Linked DNA regions of Sus scrofa. The protein of the gene in region 1 purifies or fractionates together with the protein of each later gene. This does not show direct contact. Links are inferred from orthologs where the notes say so. Each region holds a gene or a part of one and is shown on either strand. Other genes may lie near its edges. The genes, in order: LLGL2, PRKCZ, DCAF1, PARD6B, PARD6G and RAD18.

What was found.
Region 2: the proteins of LLGL2 (region 1) and PRKCZ purify together in Homo sapiens (affinity purification with mass spectrometry; 7 studies listed by BioGRID and IntAct, counting the BioPlex papers as one, with this or other methods). This does not show direct contact. The link is inferred for Sus scrofa from reciprocal best matches to the Homo sapiens genes LLGL2 and PRKCZ.
Region 3: the proteins of LLGL2 (region 1) and DCAF1 purify together in Homo sapiens (co-immunoprecipitation; 3 studies listed by BioGRID and IntAct, counting the BioPlex papers as one, with this or other methods). This does not show direct contact. The link is inferred for Sus scrofa from reciprocal best matches to the Homo sapiens genes LLGL2 and DCAF1.
Region 4: the proteins of LLGL2 (region 1) and PARD6B purify together in Homo sapiens (affinity purification with mass spectrometry; 7 studies listed by BioGRID and IntAct, counting the BioPlex papers as one, with this or other methods). This does not show direct contact. The link is inferred for Sus scrofa from reciprocal best matches to the Homo sapiens genes LLGL2 and PARD6B.
Region 5: the proteins of LLGL2 (region 1) and PARD6G purify together in Homo sapiens (affinity purification with mass spectrometry; 4 studies listed by BioGRID and IntAct, counting the BioPlex papers as one, with this or other methods). This does not show direct contact. The link is inferred for Sus scrofa from reciprocal best matches to the Homo sapiens genes LLGL2 and PARD6G.
Region 6: the proteins of LLGL2 (region 1) and RAD18 purify together in Homo sapiens (affinity purification with mass spectrometry; 3 studies listed by BioGRID and IntAct, counting the BioPlex papers as one, with this or other methods). This does not show direct contact. The link is inferred for Sus scrofa from reciprocal best matches to the Homo sapiens genes LLGL2 and RAD18.

Annotation. Positions count from the first base shown.
Region 1 is NC_010454.4:5,832,063-5,837,407, reverse strand, and holds the start of LLGL2 (lethal(2) giant larvae protein homolog 2), read left to right. Parts: upstream 1-2,004; 5' UTR 2,005-2,408; intron 2,409-2,568; 5' UTR 2,569-2,587; coding exon 2,588-2,662; intron 2,663-5,345. UniProt on the Homo sapiens protein: Part of a complex with GPSM2/LGN, PRKCI/aPKC and PARD6B/Par-6, which may ensure the correct organization and orientation of bipolar spindles for normal cell division.
Region 2 is NC_010448.4:64,131,452-64,136,179, forward strand, and holds part of PRKCZ (protein kinase C zeta type), read left to right. Parts: intron 1-1,566; coding exon 1,567-1,698; intron 1,699-2,500; coding exon 2,501-2,582; intron 2,583-3,600; coding exon 3,601-3,653; intron 3,654-4,728. UniProt on the Homo sapiens protein: Calcium- and diacylglycerol-independent serine/threonine-protein kinase that functions in phosphatidylinositol 3-kinase (PI3K) pathway and mitogen-activated protein (MAP) kinase cascade, and is involved in NF-kappa-B activation, mitogenic signaling, cell proliferation, cell polarity, inflammatory response and maintenance of long-term potentiation (LTP).
Region 3 is NC_010455.5:33,705,072-33,709,799, reverse strand, and holds part of DCAF1 (protein VPRBP), read left to right. Parts: intron 1-489; coding exon 490-648; intron 649-2,206; coding exon 2,207-2,386; intron 2,387-2,948; coding exon 2,949-3,158; intron 3,159-4,476; coding exon 4,477-4,646; intron 4,647-4,728. UniProt on the Homo sapiens protein: Acts both as a substrate recognition component of E3 ubiquitin-protein ligase complexes and as an atypical serine/threonine-protein kinase, playing key roles in various processes such as cell cycle, telomerase regulation and histone modification.
Region 4 is NC_010459.5:52,208,327-52,212,877, forward strand, and holds the end of PARD6B (partitioning defective 6 homolog beta), read left to right. Parts: intron 1-2,348; coding exon 2,349-3,178; downstream 3,179-4,551. UniProt on the Homo sapiens protein: Adapter protein involved in asymmetrical cell division and cell polarization processes. Probably involved in formation of epithelial tight junctions.
Region 5 is NC_010448.4:128,247,007-128,252,366, reverse strand, and holds the start of PARD6G (partitioning defective 6 homolog gamma), read left to right. Parts: upstream 1-1,658; 5' UTR 1,659-1,847; coding exon 1,848-1,919; intron 1,920-5,360. UniProt on the Homo sapiens protein: Adapter protein involved in asymmetrical cell division and cell polarization processes. May play a role in the formation of epithelial tight junctions. The PARD6-PARD3 complex links GTP-bound Rho small GTPases to atypical protein kinase C proteins.
Region 6 is NC_010455.5:65,324,217-65,328,944, reverse strand, and holds part of RAD18 (E3 ubiquitin-protein ligase RAD18), read left to right. Parts: intron 1-2,403; coding exon 2,404-2,503; intron 2,504-4,728. UniProt on the Homo sapiens protein: E3 ubiquitin-protein ligase involved in postreplication repair of UV-damaged DNA. Postreplication repair functions in gap-filling of a daughter strand on replication of damaged DNA.

The DNA.
Region 1 (5,345 bases):
AGCTCCAGGCCCAGGTTCCTGAAGCTTCTCCGCAGAGAACCTGCCTGTCTGGGATGAGCAGAACAAGGGTTCGCCTGGAGGTGAGGCTGGCCAGTCCCAGACCTGTCTGCCTCTGAGAAGGGAAGCTACTTTTTTATGCCTTGACCTGGGCAGTTACTGCTCTACTGGGTGAGTGAGGAGCCAACTCACCCCAGGCCAGTGGGGTCCCAGCACCCCCTGTGGAATGAGCAGCAGATACATGCAAGGCCACCGGGAGACCTTGCCCGCGGCCAGGCCCCAAGCCCCAAACTGCTTGGTTGGCTCCGAGTTGAAGTGTGTGTGTGCGGCCGCGCCTTTTAACGGCAGGGGTGTAATTAAGCATCCTCCGTCCTGTCACACGCAGCCTCTAAGATCTGGGACTTCCTCGCCAGACCCGGGGCCAAGTCTGAGTTCTTTTGGTTCCTTCTCGGTGACTCGAGCTGCCCAGCCTCTCTGGTCTTTCTTTCCATGTCTGCCAAGTGGGGATATCCCACTCACCTTCCAGGAGGCTTCTGGAAGGCGAACGAACACCCAGGGTGGGTTTAGGTGCATCGTGTTCTACCACACGAAGGTCTGGCTCGACCTGGTGGGCAGTGGGTGGATGGAGGGCCGCCCTCCCTTCCCCAGTGGGGCTGCCTCCCACCCCACCCCTCATCCCTCTCCCCACCTCTGACCTGCACATCTGACCCCCAGGACTGTTCGGTGTCACCCTTCAGCCTGTGTGGGTCCTTGGCACAGATGGCCCCTGTGCCTTCTCGTCCCCACTCCACGGCCCAGAGCAGCCTCTCCCTGGAGGCTGCAGGCCCTTCTCCTCCTCCAGGGCGTCCCTCCCGGCTTCCTGTGACTTTTGACCCAGTGACCTAGGCTGGGGGAGGGAGAGCAGGCACCCCCAGGGGCCTGGGGCGGCCGATGGATGAGCTGGCGCCACCCTCCCCCATGGCTGGAATGTGAGGCCACCAGCTCAGCTGTTTGTCCAGGAGGCCGAGGTCACTGCAGGCTCGGAGTCTGTTTTCAGTCCCTGGCCCAGGAGGCTCGGGACTTCGCCGTGTTTGTTCGCTAGACCTGCTGCAGGGCCCCCGGGGGGAGAAGGGGGCAGTTCCCCCGACTACCTGCTGCCGCAGGAGAAGTGGGGCTCCCCGCTCTGCTCTGGCTTCCCCCCACACGTGAAGGCACAAACCTCTCAGCCACCCGCCCAAGTGGTGGCCTTTTCAGAGTCCCCAGAAGCTGGGCATGTTTGGCTGGCCCCGGGACGTGCATCACTGTCACAGAGTGCCCCCAGCTCTGCCTTGCCCGCGCCTCCCAGGGTCCTTTCCTATGCCAAGTCCTGGCCCGATGGCTCATTTTTGTCACCTTCCAAGAAGCCAGGAACTTCAAGGCACCTGTCAGACCTCAGCTTAGCTTCCTTCTTCTCCTGTAGGACCCCCGCCCCCACCCCGTGCCTCCCTGTTGGGGGGGGGGGCCCTGGGCGCACTTGACCTGCCCCTACCCCCGAGGCAGCTCCTCCAGGGCGGGGGCGGGCTCTGCCTCCTTCCCTGTCGTGTGTGAACGAGGCCATTTCCGGGGTGGGCCTGAGCCCCTGTGTTTCCAAGGGCAGGCCTCGGTGTCCTACGGTCAGAGGGAGGGTGCGCTCCTGGAAGCCGGAAGCCCGGGCTCACAGGCTCCCACCCCCTCCCCCAAGGCCGAGCCAGAAATAGTTCCCCCTGGACTGGGAAGGCTTCCACGGCGGGGGGCGGATGGTTTGGGGGCCTTGAGCTGGTTTCTTTATTGGGAGCAGATTTCGTCTTCTGATTAGCCTCCACTTGGGCCCATGGGAGAGGGAGCCATTCTGAATGTTCCCCGTCAGAGCCCAGGGGAGCAGGACCAGGGAGAGCCAGAGATGGGGGGTGGGGGCAGCCGGGAAGCCCGGGGTGGGGGATGGGACCGCACCCCCGACGCTGGGCCCTGCCCCTGCCCCCCGCCAGGAGGTTCCTGACGGCTGTGGCTGTGGCTGGCGGGAGCAGCCTAGGCCCTTGGCAGCCTTCCCTGAAGTTGGAAGGCAGCATCTGCCCCGGGGGAGCCGACTCCCCAGGGAGTCCTGCGGGGGCCCTGGCCTGGAATTTCTGGGCCTCCCCCCACCCACCCCCGTGGTTCCGATCTGGGAGCCCAGGTGAACCGCATTCCCACCTTCTGGAGCAAGAGCCTTGTGAAGTTTCCCTTTCTGTTTGGCCAGAGTTTTATGGTTTTTCAGCAAACAGGTTAACAATTAAGCTTAATTAACCTCAGGGCCTCTGGCCCTCCCAGTTCCTATAAAGCCAGGCTAAATGGCTTCCTCCCCCAGCTTCTCCCGTTGGCTTTAAAAGGCCCCAGGTGGCCAAGAGCAAGCGTCAGAGCATCGCCTGCCCGGCCGCCAGGTACAGAGCTCCTTCCCGCTTGGAGTTTTCTTTCCGGGGGTGAAGCTGGCCTGGCCGGGGTGGTGGCCACCTGCTGGGCCTGGGGAGAGAGGCTGCTCACCTGGGCCCCTGGGCCCAGGCCTCCCTGCCCTGGGCTCAGCGGCTTCTCCCGTTTCCCCAGGGGGCTGAGCACGCGCGAGATGAGGCGGTTCCTGAGGCCTGGACACGACCCTGCCAGGGAGCGGCTCAAGCGGGACCTCTTCCAGTTTAACAAGGTAAGGGAAGCCAGGGGCCGGCCAGGTGGTGATGGTGGCACTGAGGTAGCACCCTCGGGGGTGGGGGGGCACCCATACCTGAATTAAGGTACTTACTTGGCACTGCCCACCATGGCTCACAGAAATGTGACTTTGGAACTGGGGGCTGGTTAGAGGGCTTTCCTGGGAAAGGGCTGTAGGGCCCAGGAGTGGGCACTCCCCGTCCACGCCTCCCGCTGGCTGTGTGACCTCTGCAAGTCACTCCACCTCTTCCAGCCTCCGTTTCCCGCCCTTTAAAGTGGGTCTAGGGGAGTTCCCATTACAGCTCAATGGGTTAAGAACCCGACTAGGATCCATGAGGATGTGGGTTCGATCCCTGGCCTCGCTCAGTGGGTTCAGGATCCGGCATTGCTGTGAGCTGTGGTGTAGGTTTTAGATGCTCGGATCCCATGTGGCTGTGGCTGTGGTGTAGACGGGCAGCTGCAGCTGCAATTCGACCCCTAGCCCGGGAACTGCCATATGCCGCAGGTACGGCCCTTAAAAAAGACAATAAATAAATAAATAAAATAGGGATTAAACAACCCACCCTGCCTGCCACCTCATGGGGTTATTGAGGAGGCTTAGGGCTGACAGAGATGAAAGGACGTTGAACGCTGCTAAGTGTACCAGGGTTGAGATGCCAGTTTCCTTGGAGCCCCGGGGCCCCAGGCCTTGGCTCTTTCCTCCCTCCTCAAATTGCCCCCAAAGGAAAACAGTTTTCTTTGCAGGCAGAGCACATGGGTTCCTCTGCAGGCTCTTGGCCTGGGTGAGTTGGGGGAGGCGCCTGGGAGAAGGTGCTGGGCTTGGCATTTGACTGCTCCTACCCCACACCTGCTCCTAAGGCCCCCGAAGGGAGTGTCCTTTGTACCCGAGATCACAGGGGTGGATGGTCCCAGAAACTCCCCAGAGCTTCCCCACGGGGGCTGGGCCCTGAGAAGGCCAGGGCTGACCTCTGAAGGGGAAGGAGCCCAGCGTGGTTTATTAGCTCCGAGGCCACCTAGCAATCTGCAGCCGGTTGGGGTAATTAGCCCCTCTCTGCTTTGATCTAGGCCCATGGCCTCCACGCCTGCACGTCCTACGCGTCCCTCTACCCTGGAGGGTGGGCTGCAGGAAGGGGAGGCTTTTGCCCTCCAGAGTCCCAGGGCTCCTCCAGGCCAGGCTGCGGGGTGGGGTTCAAATCTAGCTTGGACGCTTAGCAGCTGGGTGACCTTGTGCCTGTCACCTGGGCTCGTTATGAGGATCGCATGGGGTTAGATCGTTTTGGTGCTAAGCACGGTGCTCCCAGAATGTTAGGTGCTATTTTCAGGGGCTGCCTGCCTCCCAGGGAGAGAGAGCCCCCAGGGGCTTGTTCCCAGCGGCTGAGGGTCCCCTGCCATTTTCCTCTGATTTTCCAGACCTCTGGGGTCCGGGCTTCTCTCGATGGTTTCCCTTCCTCTGGCAGAGGGAGCTGTGGGCAGGGCTTCGGGTTCTCGGGATATGAGGGTGCATACATTATGAATGGGGGATGTCGGGGCTCCTGGGGGCCTGCCATTCTCACTCCTAAGGGAGCAGCCTATGGGTGCTGGGTGTGCGTCTTGGAACCTCAGCACCTCCCCTCCCCCACCCCGGGGCCTGGGTGACCCCTGTTGCCTTCTGTTGCCCCTGATGATGCTGGCATCTCACACCCCAAAAAGGTGGCCAATTCCAGTGGGAACCGGATAGACAGGCTCAGTGACAGGGACCAACCCCCGCCCCAAGTTCAGACCGTGCAGCGGCAGGGTGGGGCTGAGGTGGGGCTGGGGAGAGGAATCAGCAACCACCCCCCTCACCTCCCCCAATCTGCCCCCAAAGTTGGCTGTTCCCCCACCACCACCCTCGGGCCTGGCCCGCCTGGGAGGGGAGGCTCCAGGGATTCCTTCTTCCTTCCGTTCACTTTCTAGAGATGTGTATTGAGGACCTGCTGTCTGTGGGGCTCTCAGATGATAAGGCCTTTGCCCTGGAGGACTTTTATAGGCTGGTGGCAAGAAGGGTGCTGATGGTCTGAAATTCCACTTGCTGGGCTTGGAAAGGGGGGAGGGGAAGTTGGGGGGGTGCTGGGGAGGGGAGGGGATTAGTCTCACCTAGGCTCTGAGTAAATGGAGGAGCCCCAAGGGCTGGGATTGGAAGGGGGAGGCCAGATCCTGGAAGGCTGGGGAGCCTGGGTGGTCCTACCCACACCAGCCCCGCCCAGCCCCCAGCTGTGGGGTCGAGGGAGGCTGGAACCAGAGAGTCAGTCTCACACAGCAGCATTTGGTGGATTTTGGGCAGGGGTGATGGATCTCATTTATGGTTTAGAGAAGGTAATTCTGGGCCTTTCTCTCTCCCCCTCCCTCCCAGCCTTTCAATCAGAAGCAGGTGAACTCAGAGCACTGGGAGATGGGCAGTGCCTGGATGGGGCTTGGCAGCGGGGCTGGGGCACAGGGGGCTAATAGAGCAATGGGGTTTTGTTTATTGTGTTTTTTTTAAGGCCCCACCCCGTGACATATGGAAGTTTCTAGGCTAGGGGACGTAATCGAAGCTTCGGCTGCTGCCGGCCTACACCACAGCTACAGCAATGCCAGATCGGCGTCTTCGACCTACACCACAGCTCACGGCAACATGGGATCCTTAACCCACTGAGCGAGGCCAGGGATCGAACCCTGTTCGG
Region 2 (4,728 bases), on another chromosome or scaffold:
AAAAGGGATCTTTGTTCGTCTGCAGAGACACCAGGTGGTTGTGCCTTTGCCCGTAAATAAGATGCAAACATTGCAGAGCCGATTGTTAAGTGGTGACTTGGAGAGAGCTGAGCACACAGCACGTTATACTAAAAGAACGAACTTTGAGGGGTTCCTGTCATGGCTCAGGCAGGTTAAGAACCCAGCTAGTATCCATGAGGATGTGAGTTTGAGCCCTGGCCTCTCGGTGGGTTCAGGATCCCGTGTTGCCGTGAACTATGGTGTAGGTCACAGATGCAACTCAGATCTGGCATTGCTGTGGCTGTGGTGCAGGCCGGCATCTGCAGCTCCAGTTCAACCCCTTCGCCTGGGAACCTGCACATGCCATGGGTGTGGCCCTTAAAAGCAGAAGCCAAAAAAAAGGCCTTTGCCTTGGCTCTCGGATGCTCCTTCCTCGGATCCTGAATTCTCCCCAGCAGTTGCCCTCCTGGGGTGGAGGTGCCGTCATTCAGGTGATTGGCCAGGGCTGAGGTCTCAAGAGGGTTGGCCCTGTGGCCCCCGTTGGCCCTCACTGCCGTCCACTGCATTTCCGGTGGGTCCCGGGGGCGCCCCACAATTGGGGGGTGGATTCAGCCACACGGGGACTTTGGAAGACACTCTCCCTTTTCCTGTTATGGAAGTTGAAAGCTGTGGGCATGTGTGTGTCTTCAGCACGTAGTGGGCGCCCACTGGGTGCGGCTGTGTGGCTGTGACTAACAGACACGAGCCCTGCATGTGGGGAGGGGCCTGGGCTCTTGGTGGCCGTTGGCCGTGAGCAGCCGTCCCGTGGGGCTGGGTGGCACCCCAGGTCCACACCTGCGGAGGGGTGGCTCCATTTCCTAGCTCAGCTCAGTCCACGGCTGGCGGGCGGGGGGGTTCTGTTCTGGTCTCCAGGAGAGACTTGAGACTCTCTGAAGAGGCTAGAATGTGGAAAAACTCAACAGGGAGCCCGTAGGTGTGCAAACGCCATGCGCCTGTGAGGACAGCTTGGGCTCTGGGTGGCGGGCGTGCGGCCAGACTTCTGGACACGCTCACGTCCCTGCGTGTTGTGACATTCCAAAGTGGGAAAGCTGCCCCGAGCCAGCACATAGTAGTCATGAAATTCACGTGCTCAGAGCTGAGAAGAACAAAAATTGGCCGTTTAAAGTCTTTTAAAAGCTGGAAAAAAGCCCCAGACCACTGCACAGAGCCCCAGTCAGCTCGCAGTCCCGCTGCGGCTGGATGCCCGCGGCCGCGACTCCTGGGTGGCCAGGCGGCCCACGCTCTGCCCACCCGGGGCCCTTGGCTGTTCCCACCTCCAGGCCCTGTGAGCCGGGGGCCTTGCGGGGAGGGGTCCCATCACCCCCACCCTGGGCCTCGCCTGTCTCCTCACGAGCAGCCCAGCCCCCTCCTTGGGGCCCCTGCTTCCCCCCTCCCCGGGGAAGGACCCAGGTGGGGGCGGCTGGGCCTGGTGCCCCAGCTCCATGTGGCCGCGCAGCACGTCCCCTCGGGCCACTGGGGCTGCGGGGGCACCGGCCCCGCTTGACGGCGCTGTTGTCGCCCGCACAGGGAGCGTACTGCGGCCAGTGCAGCGAAAGGATATGGGGCCTCGCGAGGCAAGGCTACAGGTGCATCAGCTGCAGACTGCTGGTCCATAAGCGCTGCCACGGCCTCGTCCCGCTGACCTGCAAGAGGCATATGGTGAGTGGAGCCAGGCCCGGGGCCTGGGACTGCAGGGCCACAGCCCGGCTGGTGGTCCGGGTCTGTGCCCAGGCAGGAAGCAGCGCTTAGGAGCTGGGGGCGAAGCCGGCTGCCCTGACCCTCAAGGCCCCGGGCCCAGCCCCAGTGCCCCACCCCGCAGGGAAGGCCCACTTAGGTGTCCAGCCTCTGCTGGCGCTCCACCTGGCCGGCCACGTGCGATGGCCCGGGAGCGGAGCTGGAGTGACCATCAGCCCCCCGGGCTCCGCGAGCACAGGTCCCATCACAGAGTGAGCCGGAAAGGCACGTCTGGGGTTGGAGCAAGGGCAGAGGTGTCACACGGTGTTGCCGGAGTGCTGGGACACGGGTCCCGCAGATGCGGGAGGCGCTGGCTCAGCCGCAGCTGCCAAAACCTAGAAAGGTGCCCGCGCCCTTCGATCCTCTAGGTCCACATTAGCCTGAGAAATGAGACCAGCCCCGAGGCCACGGCCAGAGGCTGAGGGATGCCCGGGGCTGCGGTATTCACCAGGAGGGACCTGCCTCCATTGTGACATCCGCCCTGAAACCCGGAGCCAGGTGGTGTCTGATGGCTGGCGGCACACGACGCGGGCTGGGAGGGGACTCTGCGTGGATGCACGCGTATCAGAGCGCGCCCACTGCAAAGGCCACGGCCCGAGGCACCGGGCGGTCCCCTCTGCCTGCGACTCGCAGGGTTTCCTCCAGGCCAGTGCGGGAACGGACGCTTGAGTGGTGAGAACCGTGACGTGGCAGCATGCGGGTCACTCTTCACGCCGTCTCTCTGCAGGATTCTGTCATGCCTTCCCAGGAGCCTGCAGTAGACGACAGCAGTGACCGCGTGGACCTTCCGTCCGAGGACACCGATGGAAGTAGGGCCCCAGGATGCCCGCCCGCCTCTGCCTCCAGCCGGTTCCCCCACATCCCATTCTCCCCGAGGGCCAGTGTCCGTGAGCTCAGCGGCTCCTGGGGGCTTGGGGTGGGCTCTCCAGGCGGAGATGGGGGGTGGCCTTCCTGGGCGCCCAGCTGTCTGTGAGCGGCTGCCCTAGGGGCCCGGTGGCAGGGGGAGGGTCTTCCCTCTGCTGACTGTGGAGGTTCTAGAAGGCAGGAGTGCAGCAGCCACCATGGCCCCTCCCACACACTGGGTGCCCATCGCCGTGGAAAGGCCTGCTGTTCACACCACACGCTCTTGTGTACCTCTCAGGGTTTCGTGGGGTTTTGGGGGGTTTTTTTGGTTGGGGAGACTTTCTAAGGCTAAAAGGTGTCCAGAGAGTGGTTTTGAACACCAGCTGGACTGACGGCCCAGCTCTGAGCTCCTGCAATTCTGTGCACTGTTACATGGGTGTGAAAGGCCTGGCCCCTCCCTTGATACATATGGGCCCCGCCCCCAGGTGAAATGATGCCTCGGAACATAAAGCCCATAGCCCAGCACCTCCTGAAAAGGACACTCCTGACACCTGCCCACCCACCTGCTCACCATCCACCACCCACCCACCACCCACCCGACCCTCGTGCCATCCACCCCCTCCCCCACCTGCCACCCAGGACCCATTCAACCAGCCATGCATCCAGCTTTCCATCTGCATCCTGTAAGAACAGACTGAAAGGTTAGGCCCCACAACCTCAGTCCTAGGCACGCGGCAAACTTGCCACCGTGCCGGTTTGGGGCCCTCCCCAGAGTTCCAAGTCAGCAGGTCCAGGTGGGCCCAGGAAGCTGCATTTTCTTAAGACTCTAGCTGAGTCAGAGGTGGCTGCTCCTGGCCTTCGCCCTGAGCGCCGCTGGCTTGGCCTGGGCCGCCATGCGTCGGCAGGGCCGGGGCGGGGGCCCCGAGTCTCGGGCCGCGGTCCCAGCAGTGCTCCTGACACCTGGCCTTCCTCTCTCTCCAATAGTTGCTTATATTTCTTCAACCCGGAAACACGACGGCATCAAAGATGATTCCGAGGTGAGTGTGGGAAATGGCTTCTCTCTCCAGGGGTTTTTAGAAGTTTGTTGCCTCTTTGCTGGGCAGTTATGGAAACTCCAAGGTGAGCTGGGCACCTTTGGGCAGGGCTGCTCCTGCTGAGCGGGGCCATGGCCTCCGGCACACGGCAGTCCCGTGCAGGGCGGAGGGCTCTGAGGTCGTCCAGACATTTAGCTCAGAGGTCACCGGGACAGCTGAATGGGCAGAGAGCCAGTGCTGTGCCTCAGAGGTGAGGACCTGGCGCTTCTTAGACGCGACTCCTTCACTGATGCAAACCGGGGGCCAGTGTCCTTCCTTGGCCGCATCTGTGAGCCCGAGCGGCCTGGCCTGAGCCCGGGTCAGGGGGCCTCTCTGCCCTCAGGATCCTCTTCCGTCAAGTTGGGATGACCTTTGCACCTTCCGCGAGGGTGAACTGAGAGCTGTCGCATGAGCTCTTAGCACCCGCCCGCCCGCACGGGGAGCTGTGCACGCACTGACCGCTGGCGGGGCCACCGCCTCCGAGCGGCTGGCTCACCGGGCGCCCGCAACCTCCACAAAGCAAACACCTGCGCTCACCCGCCCCGCAGTCGCCTCCCGTCCCCTGTGACAGATGTTCCTGTCCCTGGGGCGTCCATGCCTCTTGTGGCAGAGATGTTGGCACCTCTCTCGGGGCTGGGCCCTCTGGTTTGGGGGGATGAGTGTCCAGTGTGCCCAAGTCAGTCTGTTGGGGGGGAGATGGGGGGGAGTGAGGAGGGAGAGACAGGGTGAGGAGGGGGAGGCAAGGGGAGTGAGGAGGGGGGACGGGGGGGGGGATGAAGAAGGGAGGGGGGATGAGGAGGGGAGATGGGGTGGGGAGGGAGAGGTGAGGGGGCGGTAAGGAGGGGGAAACGCGGGGGCGGGGGGGGGGGGAAGTGCTCTGGACCCAGGCCTGCCTCCTTCGAGGCAGGGTCTCACTTGGGACACACCCTTTATGAATCCCCCCGAGGCTTCTGTGCCAAGGGCTCTTTGGGGCCCAGATCCTGGCCCCCAGCTCCCAGCTCCCCCTCCACCCCAGCGGCAGGGCAGGCCCAGGGCTGGC
Region 3 (4,728 bases), on another chromosome or scaffold:
ACACCACAGCTCATGGCAGTGCCGGATCCTTAACCCACTGAGCAAGGCCAGGGATCGAACCCGCAACCTCCTGGTTCCTAGTCGGATTCGTTAACCACTGAGCAAGACCAGGGATCGAACCCGCAACCTCATGGTTCCTAGTCGGATTCGTTAACCACTGAGCCACAGCAGAAACTCCTGGACCCCAGGAATTTAAAATTTTGAGGAGATCAGATAATTATTGGGGTAGCATGTATCTTTGTATGTGGGATGCAGAATGTGTGTGAGTATAAAATGTGTAAACTGATGATTGGACAGTGGGATGAAACTGGAAGTTTTTTGGTTTGTTGTGTTTTTGTTTTGTTTCCCTTAAGCAAGTATTGTTTTTACTTCTGTTGTAGGACAATGGTTGTCTATTTCAGAAGAGTCCTTGTATTTAGCACCTTGATAATTTGTGAAGAAATGTTTGTTCTAGACTGTTCCACTGTGACATGTGTTTTCTTTGTTTAGCATCTAGCATCTCTCCTGCTCCATAACAAGTTTGCTACAGAATTTGTTGCGCATGGTGGAGTACAGAAATTACTGGAAATTCCTCGTCCTTCTATGGCTGCAACTGGTGTGTCCATGTGCTTGTACTACCTGTCCTACAACCAGGATGCCATGGAAAGAGTAAGTCCAGTCCCTTCAAATGTATGGAAATAAGGTAGCATGAGGAACACTCTTACACAGTCACGGGACAACCTTTGGATAAGAAAAAATGAATAGTTGGATTAAGTTTTAAAGAAGCAAGGAGCATGAATGTCTGATTTTTACAAAGCATTCTAAAAATGTAAAATTTTTTAGGAGAAGTCCAAAATGTAAAAATTTTTAAAAAAGGTCCTTTTTGTTTTTTTGAGTCTCTGAAAAAAAAAAATTCAAGATGGATTGGGGTCAGGGAACTTTTTTAGTTTTTGCCATTTCTTTTGCATTAGAATTATTTTCAGGTTCCTTTCAGATATCCCTCAGTGGAGTTATATTTTGCATTTTTGTGTCAGTCTGTTATAAAAACAACAGATGATACGAGATGATGGGTTGTATATGTTAACAAATAGCTTGGTGGAGATAGTAAAATCATTCCAGTTGTTCTCAGAGCTCCAGAGGTTCCCCATCTGGTTCTTCTGTTTTTCTAGTTGAGACTTAGTGACTAAAAAAAAAAATGTAAGTGGGTTGTACATTTGAAAAGACATAGGTCCCTAGATACCACTAGCAAAATGCTTGTCATTTCTGTGCCTGTAATATTTTTCTAAAGTTCTGTGTGGTGGAGTAAAGTTGGTAATTTCTTTTTTTCTTTTTTTTTTTGTTTGCTTTTTAGGGCCACACCCATGGCACATGGAGGTTCCCAAGCTAGGGGTCGAATCGGAGCTACAGCTGCCAGCCTACACCACAGCCACAGCAACGTCAGATCCGAGCCATGTCTGTGACCTGCACCACAGCTCGTGACAATGCCAGATCGAGGTCAGGGATGGGACCCCCAACCTCATGGCTCCTAGTCAGATTTATTTCCACTGCGCCATGATGGGAACTCCTGAAGTTGGTAAATTCTTCTTGAGCCATGTCTGTATTTATCTTTACATGTTTATTAATAAAGTAATATTTTGATTTTAATTTTTTTTTACCCCTTGAGATCAGTATTATGCAAGGATGTGTAGTCTTTTGAGAATAGTAACCTAACTTGTGTATGTATATACAAAAGTAATTGTGGTTAAGATAAAAAAATACCAAGCAAACCTGGGCAGTGCTTCATAATTCATAGTCTGACCTATAGGAGACAAAAAAATGTGTGTGACAGTGAGTGAATGGATACTAAGTAGACTTCAGTATCAGAAGGTTCAATCACATTTATCCTCCTGGGGAAGTCCCTTAATTTTCTGAGCCACTTCCTCATCAGTTAAGTGGAAATCCTAATACTTACTTAACAGAATGTTGTGAGCATTAAAGGATGTAAATATTTGCAAAATTTCATTCAGTGTAGGTTTAATGTAAATATTTCTCTAAATTTAGGTTATTTTTAGGCTTGGAATAGATTGTTAGAAAATTTTATTTGTAACTTAAGCTTTAAACTCAGAATCAGTTGTCTAGGGGTGATTATTGTATTCTGCAAAGATATCTAACTACACTGGTGAACTTTTCATCCCCTTTGAAGGTTCCTTTCCCCAAAATTTTAAAAAATTATTTTTATGTTTTTCAGGTTTGCATGCATCCCCACAATGTTCTGTCTGATGTGGTGAACTATACCTTGTGGTTAATGGAATGTTCTCATGCCTCAGGATGCTGCCATGCTACCATGTTTTTCTCAATCTGCTTCTCCTTTCGGGCTGTGTTGGAACTCTTTGACCGCTATGATGGTCTCCGTCGTCTCGTGAACTTGGTGAGATCCTTCAGTGGCTTCTCTTTGTGCGAAGTAGGGATCTTCCTTCAGACCCACCGACTGGAGGAATTTTGCTGTCATTTTTATGGATGAAGTATTTTTTTCCTCCTTCATTCACAAGTTTCTCTTCTTCTTAAGTGGTTAGAAGACTGTGCCTTTGTATTTTCTTTTTATTGAAGTATAGTCAATATATAATCTGACATTTTCTGCTGTACAATATAGTGACCCTGTTGTACATATATATGTACATTCTTTTTCTCGTATTAGGACTGTGCCATTGTAGACTTGCCTTGGATATAGTTATCTAAAGTGGAACAGCTTAATCTTTCTAAAAGCTATAGTTTGTGCCTCTGTGTATTTCAACATGATTGAAAGCTATGCAGCTTTTCAATAGATTTAATGTTTTAGTTTCATATGGCTGCTCTCAGCATGTATAGACCGATGTACTTTAATTTTTATCAGTATTCTTGGGCATAAAATTTTACTGAGATCTTTCTTCTTTTCCTTTTCCTTTTTGTTGTTGCTCCTTTTTTGGCCCGTTCTTTTGCCTCTTTCCCTATAGATCAGTACTTTGGAGATTCTAAATTTGGAAGATCAGGGTGCACTTCTGAGTGATGATGAAATATTTGCTAGCCGCCAAACTGGGAAACATACCTGCATGGCCTTGCGCAAGTACTTTGAGGCTCACCTGGCCATTAAATTAGAACAAGTGAAGCAGTCACTTCAGAGGACTGAGGGTGGCATTCTTGTTCATCCTCAACCCCCATACAAGGTGAGAGAAGCTTATTTTAAAAGGGAATGTTGTTAACACTCTCTGTAATATCTAGGGCCTGAAATGCACATTCATTATCAGTGAGTCTCAACATGTAAGATGTACATTGTTGAATTATATTTGCACTGTTTGGAGGCAGAATACTTGAAAATGAATGTACCAAGGAATTACTTTATCTCAGTTTTAAGTTGCTACTTCTCTGGGATACCGGAACTAAAAGATGAACTGAGATGTGTGTAAAAGGGCTTTCTTTTTTGGAAAAGTGCTAGCTATCCTACCTTCTATGTGAAAATCTTTTCTGAAAGAATCCATCTTTAATTCCACTTTACTGTCATTTCTGAACTTAATTGGTATGTTTTGGAACAAAGATTAGTATCTGCACAGTTCCTGCTGTGGTGCAATGGCTGTAGCTTATAGCTCTGGCTCAGATTTGATTCTTAGCCCGGGAACTCCATGTGCCATGGGGCAGCCAAAAATGAAGAAAACTCAAACTGAATAGAAACCATTTTGTGTGATGCATCTTAAGCTGTGAAATATATGCACCAATTATTTGAACATTGTGTTATTTTTTAAGCAAAAAGTATTACGAGTCTAGTTTTTAAATAAAAGATTAAACATTATTTTTATATATTCATTATTTCATATGTGGGCTATGGACTGAAGAATTGTAGGATTTGAAAACTGTTATTGGAGTTCCCATCGTGGCTCAACAGTTATGAACCTGAGTAGTATCCATGAGGACATGTGTTTGATCCCTGGCCTCGCTAATTTGGGTTAAAGATCCTGCATTGCCGTGAGCTGTGGTATAGGTCACAGATGTGGCTTGTATCCCTCCTTGCTCTGGCTGTGGTGAGGCTGGCAGCTACAGCTCTGATTTGACCCCTAGCCTGGCAACTTCCATATGCCTCAGGTGTAGCCCTAAACAAAACAAAAAGAAAATTCTTAAAATTATTTAGCTTTATTATTAAAACCTGTTGGGGAGTTGCTGTCATGGCACAGCGGAAACTAATCTGACTAGGAACCATGAGGTTGTGGGTTTGATCCCTGGCCTCGCTCAGTGGGTTTAGGATCTGGCGTTGTCGTGAGCTGTGGTGTAGGTCGCAGATGTGGCTTGGATCCTGCATTGCTGTGGCTGTGGTGTAGGCTGGTGGCTACAGTTCCAATTGAACCCCTAGCCTGGGAACCTGCATATGCCATGGGTGTGGCCCTTAAAAAAAAAAGTAAAAGTTGGCCATTGAGCTGTGCTGGGGAAGATAAAGCAGATTGATAAAATTCTTTAATAATAATATACTTTAATAATATATATCTCTCCTTTTAGGCATGTTCGTATACTCATGAACAGATTGTGGAAATGATGGAGTTTTTGATAGAATATGGCCCAGCACAGCTGTATTGGGAACCAGCTGAAGTCTTCCTCAAACTTTCTTGTGTCCAACTCTTACTGCAGCTTATTTCTATTGCCTGCAATTGGAAGACCTATTATGCAAGGTGGGACCAGAGAAAGGTTTCCAATGAAGTTAGATTCTGCTTTTTGCTAAAGTTAATGTTGGTTTTCACATAGTGTAGCAAA
Region 4 (4,551 bases), on another chromosome or scaffold:
AGTTTCCTGATCTATAAAGTAAAGGTAGTAATACTTATCCCCAGAGGGGGCCCTGAGCATCCGGGGACAAGAGGATGTCGCGGGAAGCCCTGCAGCCTCGGTCCAGCGATGTTACCGCTGTCTGTCCGCCCGCAGCGGTGGCCGAGACTCGAATTTAAACAAGTTCTTGAGGGGCGGGGGGCATTTCGTCTCTTTTATTCTTATTAAATATTTTTTATCCTGGGAGGTTCTGACTTCTTAGTTTATCACCACTTCAGTTATTTTTGAACCGTGATTTCACATTTTGTGCCTCCTGTTGATTCCGTCTCCTCTCATTCTCTGATGAGAGATGCTGTTTTAGACTGGCTGCCTCCAGCAGAGCGATTTAAGAAGACCTGGTTTTAGGTGCCCTGCTTTTGCCTTGTTTACATCAAGATTATAAATTGCTGGCTTGGAGAATGAATTCAACCCCCAGGCATTATTTTGCTCAAACAGGTTTTTGTTGTTACTTAATTAGGTGTCAGCATTTAAAAGTGGGAAGAATTTTTTACCGGAAAAAAAAAAAAAGCCTGAGACTCTCTGACCAATTGAAATGGCCACACAGATTCCTATAGTCCACGAAGCAAAGCTGCCTGGAGCAAGGAGCGGCTGTGCCTTTAGCTAAAACAGGGGCTCTGCTCTGCTGGGAGTCCTCAGCCCTCACTGTTGTCTTTGACCCGCCACTGAAACAAAATATCATTGCATTTTAATGTTTTTCACATAGTGAAGAAAAAAGTTAAAAATCGTAACACCTCAGCCTCTTTCAAGATTGGAAAAACGAAAGATTAAGAACTCCTCCAGAGGAGTTCCCGTCGTGGCGCAGTGGTTAACGAATCCGACTAGGAACCATGAGGTCGCGGGTTCGATCCCTGCCCTTGCTCAGTGGGTTAACGATCCGGCGTTGCCGTGAGCTGTGGTGTAGGTTGCAGACGCGGCTCGGATCCTGCGTTGCTGTGGCTCTGGCGTAGGCCGGTGGCTACAGCTCCAATTCAACCCCTAGCCTGGGAACCTCCATATGCCGCGGGAGCGGCCCAAGAAATAGCAACAACAACAAAAGACAAAAAGACAAAAGACAAAAAAAAAAAAAAAAAGAACTCCTCCAGAAAACTGAGGGAAAGTGTATCTGCAGAAGACCAAAATCTCTGTGTTTGATATGCATTCATTTCATGGCATTATCATTTCATGAGTATTATCTGCTTTGTTTAATTATAAGCAGACTTCAGATATATTGTGGGTTCGGCTCCAGATCACCTCAATAAAGCGAATATCATGATAAAGCAAGTTACATGAATTTTTGCACAGATTATAATGCAAATGTGTGCATTTTGTCTTAAAAATGCATTATTATTTAAAAAAATCTTTTTTTGCTAAAAATGTTATCCATCACCTGAGCCTTCAGCAAGTTCTAATCTTTTTGCAATAGTGAGATCAAAGGTCACTGATCAAAGAGCATCATAACAGGTATAATAATTTTAAAAGTTTGAAATTTTGCTAGAATTAACAAAATGTAACCCAGAGACATGAAGTTGAGCAAATGCTATTGGAAAAATGGTGCCAGTAGACTTGTTCAGTGCAGGGTTGACACAAACCTTCAATTTGTAAAAGCCACAATTATCGGAGAAGCACAATAAAAAGAGGTCTGCCTGTACGCTGTCTGCCCAGCCTCTATTATAGGTATTTAAGCTTCAGAAGTGCCCAGTTTCATGTCCTTGAGTTGAATGTGATAAACGTGCAAATCATAGGTTTTTAAACAAACATAGGGAAAATACTGTATAAATGATTTGTTTTAGGTGGTGTTTCAAAATGTGAGGCTCCTCAGCATGTCATTTGCCATATTCCATGGTGCTGAAACTGTTGAGCTTTATCAAACTTCAACTTTTGGTAAAGATTTTTATAATGATACTTGAGAGGGCCACCTAGTGTTTTTTTTCTGGTATAGCATATCTTACTACTGCACTCCTTTTTTTTTTTTTTTTTTTTTTTTTTTAATGGCTGCACCTACAGCTACAGCACATAGACGGTCCCAGGCCAGGGATTGAATCCCAGCCGTAGCTGCAGCAATGCCAGGTCCTTTAACCCACTGTACTGGGCCAGGGATTGAACCCATGCCTCTGCAGTGACTAGAGCCTCTGCAGTCTGATTCTTAACCCACTGTGCCACAGCAGGAACTCCTACTGCACTGCATTTTGATCTGATTAGAATAAGCTAATATTTAAGTTTGTTTATGTACCAAATATGTTTTTGAGTTAGCCTTTCTGTACAGATTCCACTGAAGATAAATGAGTGTTTTAACAGCATTTTTGTAATTATTCTATTTTATTTTTAAACAGAAGAAGCGGACTACAGTGCCTTTGGTACAGACACACTAATAAAGAAGAAGAATGTTTTAACCAATGTGTTGCGTCCTGACAACCATAGAAAAAAGCCACATATAGTCATTAGTATGCCCCAGGACTTCCGACCTGTGTCTTCTATTATCGATGTGGATATTCTTCCAGAAACGCATCGTAGGGTCCGCCTTTACAAATACGGCACTGAGAAACCTCTAGGATTCTACATCCGGGATGGCTCCAGTGTCAGGGTGACACCGCATGGCTTAGAGAAGGTCCCAGGGATCTTTATATCCAGACTTGTCCCAGGAGGTCTGGCTCAAAGCACAGGACTATTAGCTGTTAACGATGAGGTTTTAGAAGTTAATGGCATCGAAGTTTCAGGGAAGAGTCTTGATCAAGTCACAGACATGATGATCGCAAACAGCCGCAACCTCATCATCACAGTGAGACCCGCGAACCAGAGGAATAACGTCATTAGGAACAGTCGAACTTCTGGCAGCTCCGGCCAGTCTACGGATAACAGCCTCCTTGGCTATCCTCAGCAGGTCGAGCCGAGCTTTGAGCCCGAGGATGAAGACAGCGATGACGATGACATCATCATTGAAGACAGCGGAGTGCCGCAGCAGATCCCGAAGGCTGTTCGTAACACCGAGAGCCTGGAGTCCTTAACGCAAATAGAACTCAGTTTTGAATCTGGACAGAACGGTTTTATTCCTTCTAACGAAGTCAGCTTAGCACCCGTAGCAAGTGGCACAAATACAGAATTTGAAACGCGTGCTCCAGATCAAAAACTGTTAGAAGAAGATGGAACAATCATAACACTATGAAACCATTGTTTGAGTGTTTTCTGAATGAAGATGCCGTGGAGACTTGTAAATTTGGCTAGTCTAACATATATACCTCTGAACCAGTGATCTGGGATAGGCATGAAAAAAAATAATAGTGCAAGCTTCACATGTTATTAAAATAGTAGTTTGATAATTAATATAAACCAGTGGGTCAGAGGTGAATTTAAGTCTAAAGGGGGCCTTTGCTAATGAAATGACGTGCTTTTGCTGTCTTGTCTACAGAGCACTGGATGTTAGAGCACATTCCCAGAACCGAGCGCGGGGACGAGGCCATTTCTGTTGGAAGTGGTTACATATTTAACTTGCTGTGCAGAGCCTGGATAATTTTCCCCTTAACTGTATGTTTTAAAATTCTAATGTGAAGAAGTCTATCTTTGGTACTTTGGGGACCTCAGCTCCTATGTTCCCCGTGTTTTATCTTGATTTTTTTTTTTTAGTGTTGTTCCTCTGTTGCTAATTTTAGCAAGTAATATTTTCCACTGCTTTTTTCCCTAATTTCTAAGAAATCAAACCAATGGACTGATTTTAGGAGTCGCTTCCCTCATGGAAGCTATGTTCCTGAAGTAAGAAACGCCAACAGATGTTCAGACCCGCCTTTGTCCCTCCCGTAGCTCTTGTCTGTATCATCTCATTCCATTCGGGTGTAGGTGTAGGTTACAGCGTCAGAGGCAGTTCCATCCACTCTGGTGATACGGGAGGCTCTCTCCCTGCACTTCTTGTTCTCATTCCGAATCTCGTTGGAAACCATTCCTTTTGTTGTTTGTGTGTTTCGTTGGTCTGCTTGTATACTCTTAATGTACTCGAATAGTGTCAATATTTTCGTTTAAAAAATGCACCCAAATTAAGAGATTTTACACACAGGACAACCTTGTGCACTTTTTATATGAAAAATTTGGGTTTTCCTTAATGGGATTTCTAGGAACACTGCCTACACTTTATGAAAAGTATGTAGTATTCACCTTTGACAGGTAGAGTATATCTCCATTAATTTTGTGAGGCTATTTATTCCTTTCCAGTGCATCCACTTAGAACAAGGTAAGAGTAAGGCTGCTAACTTTCATTCCTTGCCTGGTTTCATTGTCTGAGGGCCACAGGCACTACAGTTTGCTTGTATATAGAGACGAAGAATAGTGTGAACCACGTGAGTTCCTGTGGCTTATGGATATTTCTTGCAGAGTTATTTATTGATTAATTTTATGGTAGGGCTAGAATGGATACCTTATAACAATTGTGTGCTATTAAAACAATGAAGAATCAAATGACTCCGTTTTGAAGGATATTTTCTCAACATAGTAAAAATATATGAAGAAGTAAGATCTTGATTAAATGAAGATCACTTGACTCAGAATACT
Region 5 (5,360 bases), on another chromosome or scaffold:
TTTGTTGTAGTTATATCTCTTGTTTACTGTTTTTAACTGGATACTACTTAGTGATAAAATCCAAAGCCTGGAGCTCCCTTCATGGCTCAGTGGTTAAAAACCCAACTAGCAACCATGAAGATTCAGGTTCTATCCCTGGCCTCACTCAGTGGGTTAAGGATCCAACGTTTCCCTGAGCCGTGGTATAGGTCACAGACACAGCTCAGATCTGGCGTGGCTGTGGCTGTGGCTGGCAGCTGTAGCTCCAATTTGACCCTTAGCCTGAGAATTTCCACATGCCACAGGTGTGACCCTAAAAAAGAAAAAACAAACAACAACAAAAACACAAATCCAAAAGCCTTAAAAGAGGTGAGTTTTATCTCATTCACATTTGTAGGCAACGCATAGACGCTTTCAGTTCCTATGTCTTATGTTACTTTTTTCTGCCTACAGAATTTAATAAACATTTCACATGTTTGTATTAGTTTCATGCCCTCTCTCTATATATGTATATTTATATACATAATGTTCTGAAAATATGCAATGGTTATATTTTTGTTTTAGTTTTCCTCTTGATCACATTTAAAACCACAAATGTAATTAATACACTCCTCTATACAATTAAATTAGCATGTTTGTATTTCTTTTAACTTTTTCTCCCATGAATTTACACTAAGAAAAATGATATAACCAACTAAAATTGGATTGTAAACCCGTATAGTACACTTTATAATAATTTTAAACACCCATTTGTCGTTTCTTCTTTGCCTCATTAAACATTCCGACGGTGACGATTGGGATTTTGGCAGTCCCGCTTCCAGAGCTCTCTAGGTAGTAAGTACTCATGACATCGCTAACAATCAATGCCATCTTTCTCCCAATATGTTCTTTTTCCTATCAGCCTTGGCATAACTCTTCCTTCTCGTCAGTCCTAGAGGTGTTTCTGACTCTCTCCGTACCTTTTTACTTTGGCATGTGTTAGACTATGCCTTAGGAGTTCGCTCCCCGCAGAACCTTTACCCAGACCATCTTCCACATGGCAGCTAGTGCGGACAGGTGTGCCCAAAGGGGTCAGGCCTCCAGTGATTCCCATATCGTCCAAAAATCAGCCAAGATCAGTCTCCTTCCCAGGCCAACAGGTGGAGGCAAGCAAAATCTAGTGCGGGCTGCTTGGTGGGAACGAGGCGACTGGGGGGGGGTCGGGCGGCGCTGCTGCTCTTCTGGGCTCCTGCGTTTGGAGCGCGCACCTACCCGTGAGCGCGTCTTAGGGGGCGGGCCCGCCGGGCGGGGCTTGGGGGGAGGGTCCTCGGAGCTAGAGGGAGGGAGGGAGGTGGGAGGGCGGGTCGGTGAGCCGTGGGTGGGGCCTGAGGGGGCTGAGTCTTCGGAGGAGCACCATGCGAGTCCTCGAGGCTCCGAGGGTGGATCCTTAGGGCGTTCCTTCAGGAACCCATCCTTGGGACGCAGGGCGGGACGTGGGTCCTCGGGGCTTGTGGGGCGGGTCCTCCGGGACCGGGGCCGGTTCTCGGTACGAGGGGCGGGGCATGGGACCTGGTCCTCAGGACGAGGGGCGGGGATTGGTGGTGGATCCTCCCGGCGCAGGGCGGGACCTGAGTCCTAGGGCCTCGGGGGGCGGGTCCTCGGGGCGGCGCGCGCTGGCGTCCCCCGCTCCTCCCGCGCGCGGCCCCTGGAGTCCCCGAGGCGCGCGGCCAGCCCTGCTCGGGCTGCTGCACTCCAGCTGCCCGGCCGCCGAGCAAGCGCGGGCCCGGGCCGGGGCCGGGGCCGCGGCGAGGGGCGCCGCACCCAGGGTCCTTCTGCAGCCCTCGTAGCGAGGAGCGAGGGCGAAGACGAGGCTAAGTGGAGCCGGAACCATGAACCGGAGTTTCCACAAGTCTCAGACCCTGCGCTTCTACGACTGCAGCGCGGTGGAAGTCAAGAGCAAGGTGAGCCGGGGTCCAGCAGTTTGCCTACCCCCCTGCGAATGAATGGGCGCCCCGCAGGGGACTGAACTGTGCGAGAGGGACTGGCGCCGGCGACAACTTTGGAGCGCGGCGCGGTCGGTGGAATGTGCGGGGGTCCCCCAGTCCTTCCCGCCCCTCTGCGCGCGCACAAAGCCCGGCAGCCCGATAGGGTCCAGCTGGAGCCGTGGCTCTCTGAGGGCCGCGCGGCCGCCGGACCCTTCGCGGGAGCTGCTCTTTTGTTCCACAAACCAGCGGCGACCCGGCGCGCCGCACGGTGGAGGGGCGACGTTTCCGGGGCTACCCGAGGCTGCTCGGATTCGGGGCCGTGGAGGGGCCTCGGGGGCCCGGGCGAGGGGAGGGCCCTGACCGCGCCGCCGCCCTCGCTGAGGAGGAGCCTCGGAACCCGCAAGGGGGGAGACAGGCTGCGGATCTCCGACCCCTGGACTGGACCCCCAGACCCCGGCCCCGCCCTGCGTACCAGCCCCTCAGCCTCCCGGCGAGCCCCAGGCCCAGATTCCCCCGGCGCGCAAGACCGGCGGCCCCTCCCGCTGCCCGCGCCCTGGCCCAAGCTTGCCCGAACTTGCGGGTGGCTGTACGTATTTGGATAATTGGCTGATAGGATCTGGCGCTTCTGCCCTTTGCGGAGGCGGCTCCTTTGCTGCAGACGCTTTTGTCTGCGAGGGTCTCGGGTGTCCGTGGTGAACCCCGCAGCAGAGGAGGAGCTGCAGTTGTTCAGGGTCCTGGAGGAGGGGCCCCTCGGGCTTACTGCTGCCTGAGAGCCGGTTCTTGCCCTTTCTCTCTGCGCGCCCCCCACCTCGGAAAGCAAAGCAGAGGAGCCTGAGTGGTGGGAGAAGGAGGGTGGGCTCCGACCAACTCCGCGCACACTCGAGTCTTGAGGCTTGTGTGCCCTGGCCCGGTCTCTAGGAAGACAAGTCCAGCGGTCCCCTGCCTGGGCTGCCCCTACCAGCGAAGGGGGATGGGGGTCCTTTGGTGTAAGATTCCCAGGGTTTCCTCCGAGAATTGGTGGAGGGGGCGCGGGTTATCTCCGCGGGAACCTCAACGCAATGAGTTGCGGAATTTCATCACCATCTCGTTGAACAGTGTTTTTATGAGATCCTCATGTCCAGTTACTCCGAATACTAATTCTGTGACCCTTGCCCAACACTCATCCCCTCTTCTAGCCCCAGAGTGCCTTCCCATACTGCCATCAGATGTGCCGGCCGTGAGTAGTGGGACGGGAAAGAACCGACAAGCATGAGTGAGGGCACCAAATAATTGACGTTTCATTAGCTCAGTGGGAATAAGGCTTTTAAAGCTCATTGTCCACTACAGTAGCCACTGAGCACTTATGGTGTTTCATTTTAACTTTCTGTTTTGAGATCATCATAGATTAACAGGCAGTTGTGAAAAAGAATACAGAAACTCCTCCAAAAGTAACATCTTGTATCACAGTGTCACACCTAGGACCTCATTAGACTTGTTCACAAGTGTTTTTAGGTCATGCACTTTCATCAGTGTGCACATTCCTGAGACCCAGCAGTCACAATACAGAGCACTTCCATCTCAAGGGTATCTTCTGCTGCCCTTTCATAGCAGCTATTTGACTCCAAGTGTGAGTTGATTAGCATCAATATCATACACTCTTCCTGAGTTCCCTGTGCTCAGTAGCCACATGCAACTTGCAGCTCCCTGACCAGATGCAACTCCAGAGGGTCTATCCAGAGGGGACAGCCCTGGAGGAAATGACCTCACAAAGCCTTATCCTACAGTGCTGGACTGTTGACACTGTGGGCCAATGGGTTCTGGAGAGTTGAGTCTGCCTTTGCCCCTCGTTGGGAGCTGGGGGCTGTGGGTGTTCTGGTAGCCCAGTGGATGGCCTTCTTGGCTTCCCAGTGAAGAAGAAGGGGCACTGCTCCATGCCCCAAGCCTGGGTTGAAGTTCAGATGCAGCGAATGCTCCCCAGAGGTGAATGGCAGAGCCAGACTTTTGGTTGAATTTGGGAGCAACCCTGGCCCTGGGCCCTGTTGGGCTGTCTGGTTATAGACACACCACTAGCAGCAGCAGCAGCGGCCTTTTTGGATAATGGGGCTTGCCTTACTTTTGTCCAGGGGGTTCATGTGGCTCTTCCCTCTGTATTCGGCCTTCCACTGACCCCCTTAGTAGTTAATACCTAGAACCATTGTGTCTGTCTCTGCAGGGGGTCTTGCGCCAGCTGCTGTTTTCAAAATATGGGGAAAAAAAACGTGATGACAGTGATGTCTTTATCCAGTCTAAATGTAGCACCTAGCACCTGGGTTTGTATTTGGATAAAATAGTGCCAGGGAGCTGAGCTCAGCAGGTTTTGCCACCTACCTTGTGAGCTTTCAGTCAAGTTATTTAACTTTTCTGAGTCTCAGTTATTTCATCTGTAAAATGGCCATTGTGCCGGTTCTGCTTACCTCCTAGGATCAAATGAGGTAGTGAATGTGAAACCACTTTTAAACTGAGAGCAGGAGTTCCCGCTGTGGTGCAGTCAGTTAAGAATCCAGCTACGAGGCTGCAGAAGCAAGAGTTTGATGCCCGGCCTGGGAACTTCATATGCTGCTGGGACAGCCATTAAAAAAAAAAAAAAAAAATGTTGAGAGCACCCACTGTTGTAAGAATTAAGCACTCAGATCAGGATTCTATGGCGTTTCAGGATATTGGGTCTAAAAATCACCTCTGATCCTCTCAGAATTTTTGGCATTAGCCATGTGCCACAGCTGGTCAGTTTCCAAAGCCTTGGGGACTTTATCTTGACCTGGTGCCTCAACCCCTCCCCCAAACATTTCAGCTTTAAAACCTGTGACTGGGCTCCTCCTACGCCGTCCAGCAGCATGCACTTCTGATTCCCCAGTTCTGGTAGTGGGACTAGCGTTTCATGGTCATTCTGACTTCTGCCCCTCTTCCCATGAGGCCTGAGGGGGCAGGGGTTGTGCCCATGTCTGGGGGTGTAAGTCTTGGCCCATCAGAGGGCAGCAGGAAGGCCAGTGCTGAGGGAAGGGTCTCTAGGGGGCAGAGTAATTGGAGATGACTTGTTTGAGGAAAAACAGAAAGTCACACAGATTAGCTGTGAGTGCTGCAGTGGCTTTAACTGTGTGTCTTGTCAGTGCCACCAGCATCTGCTTGTGCCTGAAAAATCTGAAAGCACGATTATCCCATCTCAGCCCCGAGCCCCACCCTCTGGCTGGAGGCCCCTGCCTTAAACCAGGTCCATGTGGTCCCAGTTTCCTTACCTCTCAGGTCTCATCCTGGTTCCCCTTGGCCGCTGGGCCTCTGGCCATGCGGCTTTCCCCCACCAGCAATGCTTTCTCTAAGAACCTGCCCTATCTTGGTGGCCCCCTCCTCTAAAGCCCATCTGATGCCTTTCCCAGGCGGAAGCTTCTCCATCCTCTGAGCTCTTCC
Region 6 (4,728 bases), on another chromosome or scaffold:
GATTTTTATTTTTTCTATTATAGTTGATTCACAATATTCTGTTGATTTCTGCTGTACGGTAAAATGATCCAGTCACACACACACACACACACACACACACACACACATACATAAACACATTCTTTTTCTCACATGATGGAGAATAATATTTCCACTTTTTAACACTGCACTTGCACAGGCATACCTTGAAGAAATTGTGGATTTGGTTCTAAACCACCGTAATAAGGCAAATATCCAAATATCACAGGTTTTTTTCTTTCCCAGTGCATATAAAAGTTATGTTTACACTATACTATAATCTATTATGTGCTTTATGACTGAAAAAATGACTAAAAAAATGTACATGCACTAATTAAATTTTTTTTTGTTTAAAAATACTGTCTTAGTTAATCTTCAACATAGGAGGCAAGAGTATACAGTGGAGAAAAGACAGTCTCTTCTGTAGGTGGTGTTGGGAAAGGTGGACAGCTGTATGTAAATCAATGGAGTTAGTACCATTCCTCACACCATACACAAAGATAAACTCAAAATGGCTTAAAGACTTAAATTTAAGACATGATACCATAAAACTCCTAGAAGAGAACATAGGCAAACATTCTCTGTCATAAATTGTATTAATGTTTTCTTAGGTCATTCTCCCAAGGCAATAATAAAAGCTAAAATAAAAAAGATCTAATCAAACTTATAAATCTTTTGCATAGCAAAGGAAACTGTAAACAAAATAAAACAACAGCCTACAGAGTGGGAGAAAATATTTGCAAACTATGCAACCAAAAAGGACTTAATTTCCAAAATATACAAACAGCTCATACAACTTAATTTAAAAAACCCCAAACAAACCAATCAAAAAATGGGCCAAAGACCTAAGTAGACATTTCTCCAAAGACATGCAGATGGCCAATAGGCACATGAAAAGATGCTCAATATCACTAATTATTAGAGAAGTGGAAATCAAAACTACAGTGAGGTACCACCTTACACTGGTCAGAATGGCCATCGTTAAAAAATTTACAAATGACAAAAGCTGGAGAGGTTGTGGAGAAAAGGGAACTCTCCTACACTGCTGGGAATATAAATTGGTGTAGCCAACTATGTAAAACTGTATGGAGGTTCCTTTAAAAACTAGAAATAGAGTTGCCATATGATCCAGCAGTCTCACTCCTGGGCATGTATCTAGAGAAAACTCTAATTTGAAAACTACATGCACCCCTGTGTTCATAGCAGCACTGTTTACAATAGCCATGACATGGAAGCAATCTAAATGTCCATCCACAGATGAATGGATAGAGAAGATATATATATATATATATATATATACACACACACACACACTTATACACACAACAGAATACTACCCAGCCATAAAAAAAGAATGAAATAATACCATTTGAGACAATGTGAATGGACCTAGAGATTCTCATAATAAGTGAAGTAAGTCGGAAAGAGAAAGAGAAATACCATATGGTATCATTTATATGTGAAATCTGAAGTATGGCAGAAACAAACTCATAGAAAACCAAACTTATGGTTACCAAAGGGGAAAGGGTAGGGAGGGATAATTAGAAGTTTGAGATTAGCAGGTAATAAACTGTTATATTAAAAATATATTAAACAACAGGGTCCTATTGTATTCAATATCCTATAATCAACCTCATTGAAAAGAATATGAGAAAGAATCTATATATAACTGAATCACTGTGCTGTACATCAGAAACTAACACAACATTGTAAATCAACTATACTTAAAGTTTAAAAAAGAAAATGCTGGCCATCACCAGACAATACAGGGTTGCCAAAAACCTTCAATTTGTTTAAAAAAGAAAAGAAAAGCGTTATCTGCAAAGCACAATAAAGTGAAGCACAGTAAAATGAAATATGTCTGTAGCTACAAATGAGAGCTAAATTAACAAATTTGTAGCCATGAATAATTTGAAGAGTAGTTGGCCCACGCCAATATATTATTTTATTTAGCTGCATATACCCTTCCCCCACCTTCCATCTCCAGCCAGGTATGTCTTACTCAAGTTGTTATGATTGCTTCAGTGCTAAACATTAATGGTTCCTAAGACTAGGAAATACTTAAGATTAGTTTTATAGCTTGGTCATGCTTTGGTGGAAAAGATTTAACTAAAGCATTTTTTAGTAAAAGAATTTCCAGACTTCTTTGCAGTATCTTCCTTCAGAACTAGGATTCTAATTATTATTATTATTTTCCACAGTATAGTCATTATTCAGTAATCAGGAGTCTGTTCCACTCCTGTTGCCCTTTTTCTCTTATACTTTTTTAAGTGTGTGTTAAGATTGGATTCTGTTTTTTATCTTAGTTGCTAGAAGGTGCCAGGTTATGTTATTTTTGCTTTTTCTATAAATAATGAAATCTTCTTCTCTTTTTGAAAAATACAGTGGATTGTCCTGTTTGTGGGGTTAATATTCCAGAAAATCACATTAATAAGCACTTAGACAGCTGTTTATCACGTGAAGAGAAGAAAGAAAGCCTCAGAAGGTAAGAAAGTTAAACACAACCATTGAGCTACTTTAGCTGTTGCTTCTTCTGCTTTATAAAATATTAGCCACCTGTCCATTCTTTATTCTTTCCTCAACTCCTATCTTGCCAAATATAATTAACTTTATTATATGCTAATAAAATTTGACTGAACAAGAAATTAATGACTTAGAATTCAATAATTCTTTTTAGATTTGTTTTTTTCTCTTAGAATCTTAGAACTACCATAAAACCCTTGGCTAAAGAAAGCAAGGTTAGACTGAACATAGAACACATTAAAGCTTATGTTAGTTCTTAGGAAGCTCAGAAGTTTAAATTTTTTAAATCTAGCTTTTTCAAAATTTATTTTTTCTGAATAGTTAATTACCATACACACATGATGTTCAAAGATACAAAAGGGTATGTTTGAATTGTAATCTATATTGTCTTCCAGTTACCCAGGTAAGATAAGTAAGTTGTCAACCCAATATTTGTACCTAAACTCACATTATTCTGCCTCTCTTATACATTGAAGTCAAAGTAGTTTATTAAACTAGACTGCTGTTTTTACACATACAAGTTGTCTAGGAATCACATTTTAATCAAAGTTAAATTGAGAGTGTTAAAGAGTCAGTGGTTAATGAAGATAATAGGGAAGCAGAAGTTGCAAATTAGGTGAGTATGGCGATGAAGGAAAGAGGAGAGATGGAATGGTGGTTTGGGGAAGGAATAAGCAGCAAAATCGAGGAAGATTTTATTTATTCAAATAGAAATTATATAAGCTTTTAGCCTCCTTCCTTACACTATCTCCAGGGAGAGAGCAAATGATATAAAGTATAAGAGATCAGAAGTCCAGTAATGAAGCTATCCTTGACATGCAAAAAGAACCCATTTGAAACAGGAAGGAAGGGGAGAGAATAAGTGATATTTCAGAGGTATCTGGAAAGGAGAGGAAGGAAAGTGAAGAAACCAATGCTATCTAGGAGGTGAGAATGAACAGAATAATTGGCACTTCCATTTGGTCTGTTTTGAAGAACTTGGAAGAGTCTTTTCCAAAAATCATGCTGGTTAGGCAGGAGTACTTTATCGTATTTATGATTAAAGATAAAATAGTATCACTTAATTTTTATGAGTATATCTGGATTCAGTTCAGTTTCCAAGGGACAGACTCTTGCTGTTAAAATTTATGAAAGGTAACATATAAAGCACAGTGGTACTTTCTTAATTTACAGTGGGGACACCAATTAACAGTTATTATTGTGTTCTTAGCTTGATATTGTTTTCCCTAGCAGAACCTTTTTTCAAGTGAAATCTTACAGTGATCCATAATATGTGAAGCAGGTAAACTTGGCCCTGTTCCATTAAAGTAGAAATAGGGGCCTGGGCCTGTGCTGATCCACCTGACCCTCCCCCTGCCTTGGTCCCTGCCTGTTATCCATAGTGGCCTGTAGGGCCTAAGATTCCTCCACAGACGGATCCTGGCATCAGATGCCTGTGCAGTCTTGCACGCACAGCAATCAGTCCTAGTGGCTAAGTTTGTTGACAGGAATAAAATTTAGATTTTTAGGATGCCTAGTTAGTTGGGATTTGGAATAAATGAAGCTGGATCATCTCGAGGGTTATTTCCCATAAGCTGTGAGAATCTGATGACTTCTTTAGAAATGCTTTTTCCTAGAGAATGAGTTGGGAGATTGGAAGCTGAGCATTTTCTTCTTGACCAGTAAGGAATCAGCACTGATAATCCTGCTTGGTCTCTCTTTTTCCAGATACATCCATCATATTTCTTCTAACATACTTAGCTCTGTCAATTTATCTAAAGACATACACATCCATGAATAGTGAAGTTCAGGTTCCACTAGTGGTTCCAAAGTGCTCGATGGAAAGCTAAAGTCCTGCCATTTGCTCTGTAGTGCTTTTAGAAGCAATGCATACTCACAGGGAAAGATTCACTGTGCAAGTTAGTGGACTGAAGGCTCTGAGAAGTCCTACATCAAATATGATTGTTGGATTTTGTTTTATCTAATAATTCCTATATTTATTTGACCCCCCCCCAAACTCTTTTGTCCTCCTAACTTAATCTTGCAAAACTAGAATTTGGAAGGATACACCTCGGGAGACATTGAGCCACCTTTCTCTTTAGTTATATCCTCATCCTGGATCTGGTCACATAAAAGAGTCTCTGGCATTTAGAAAATTTTCTCCACAACACCCTGACAGGTCCCTGCTTTAATGTGTATGACAGCTCT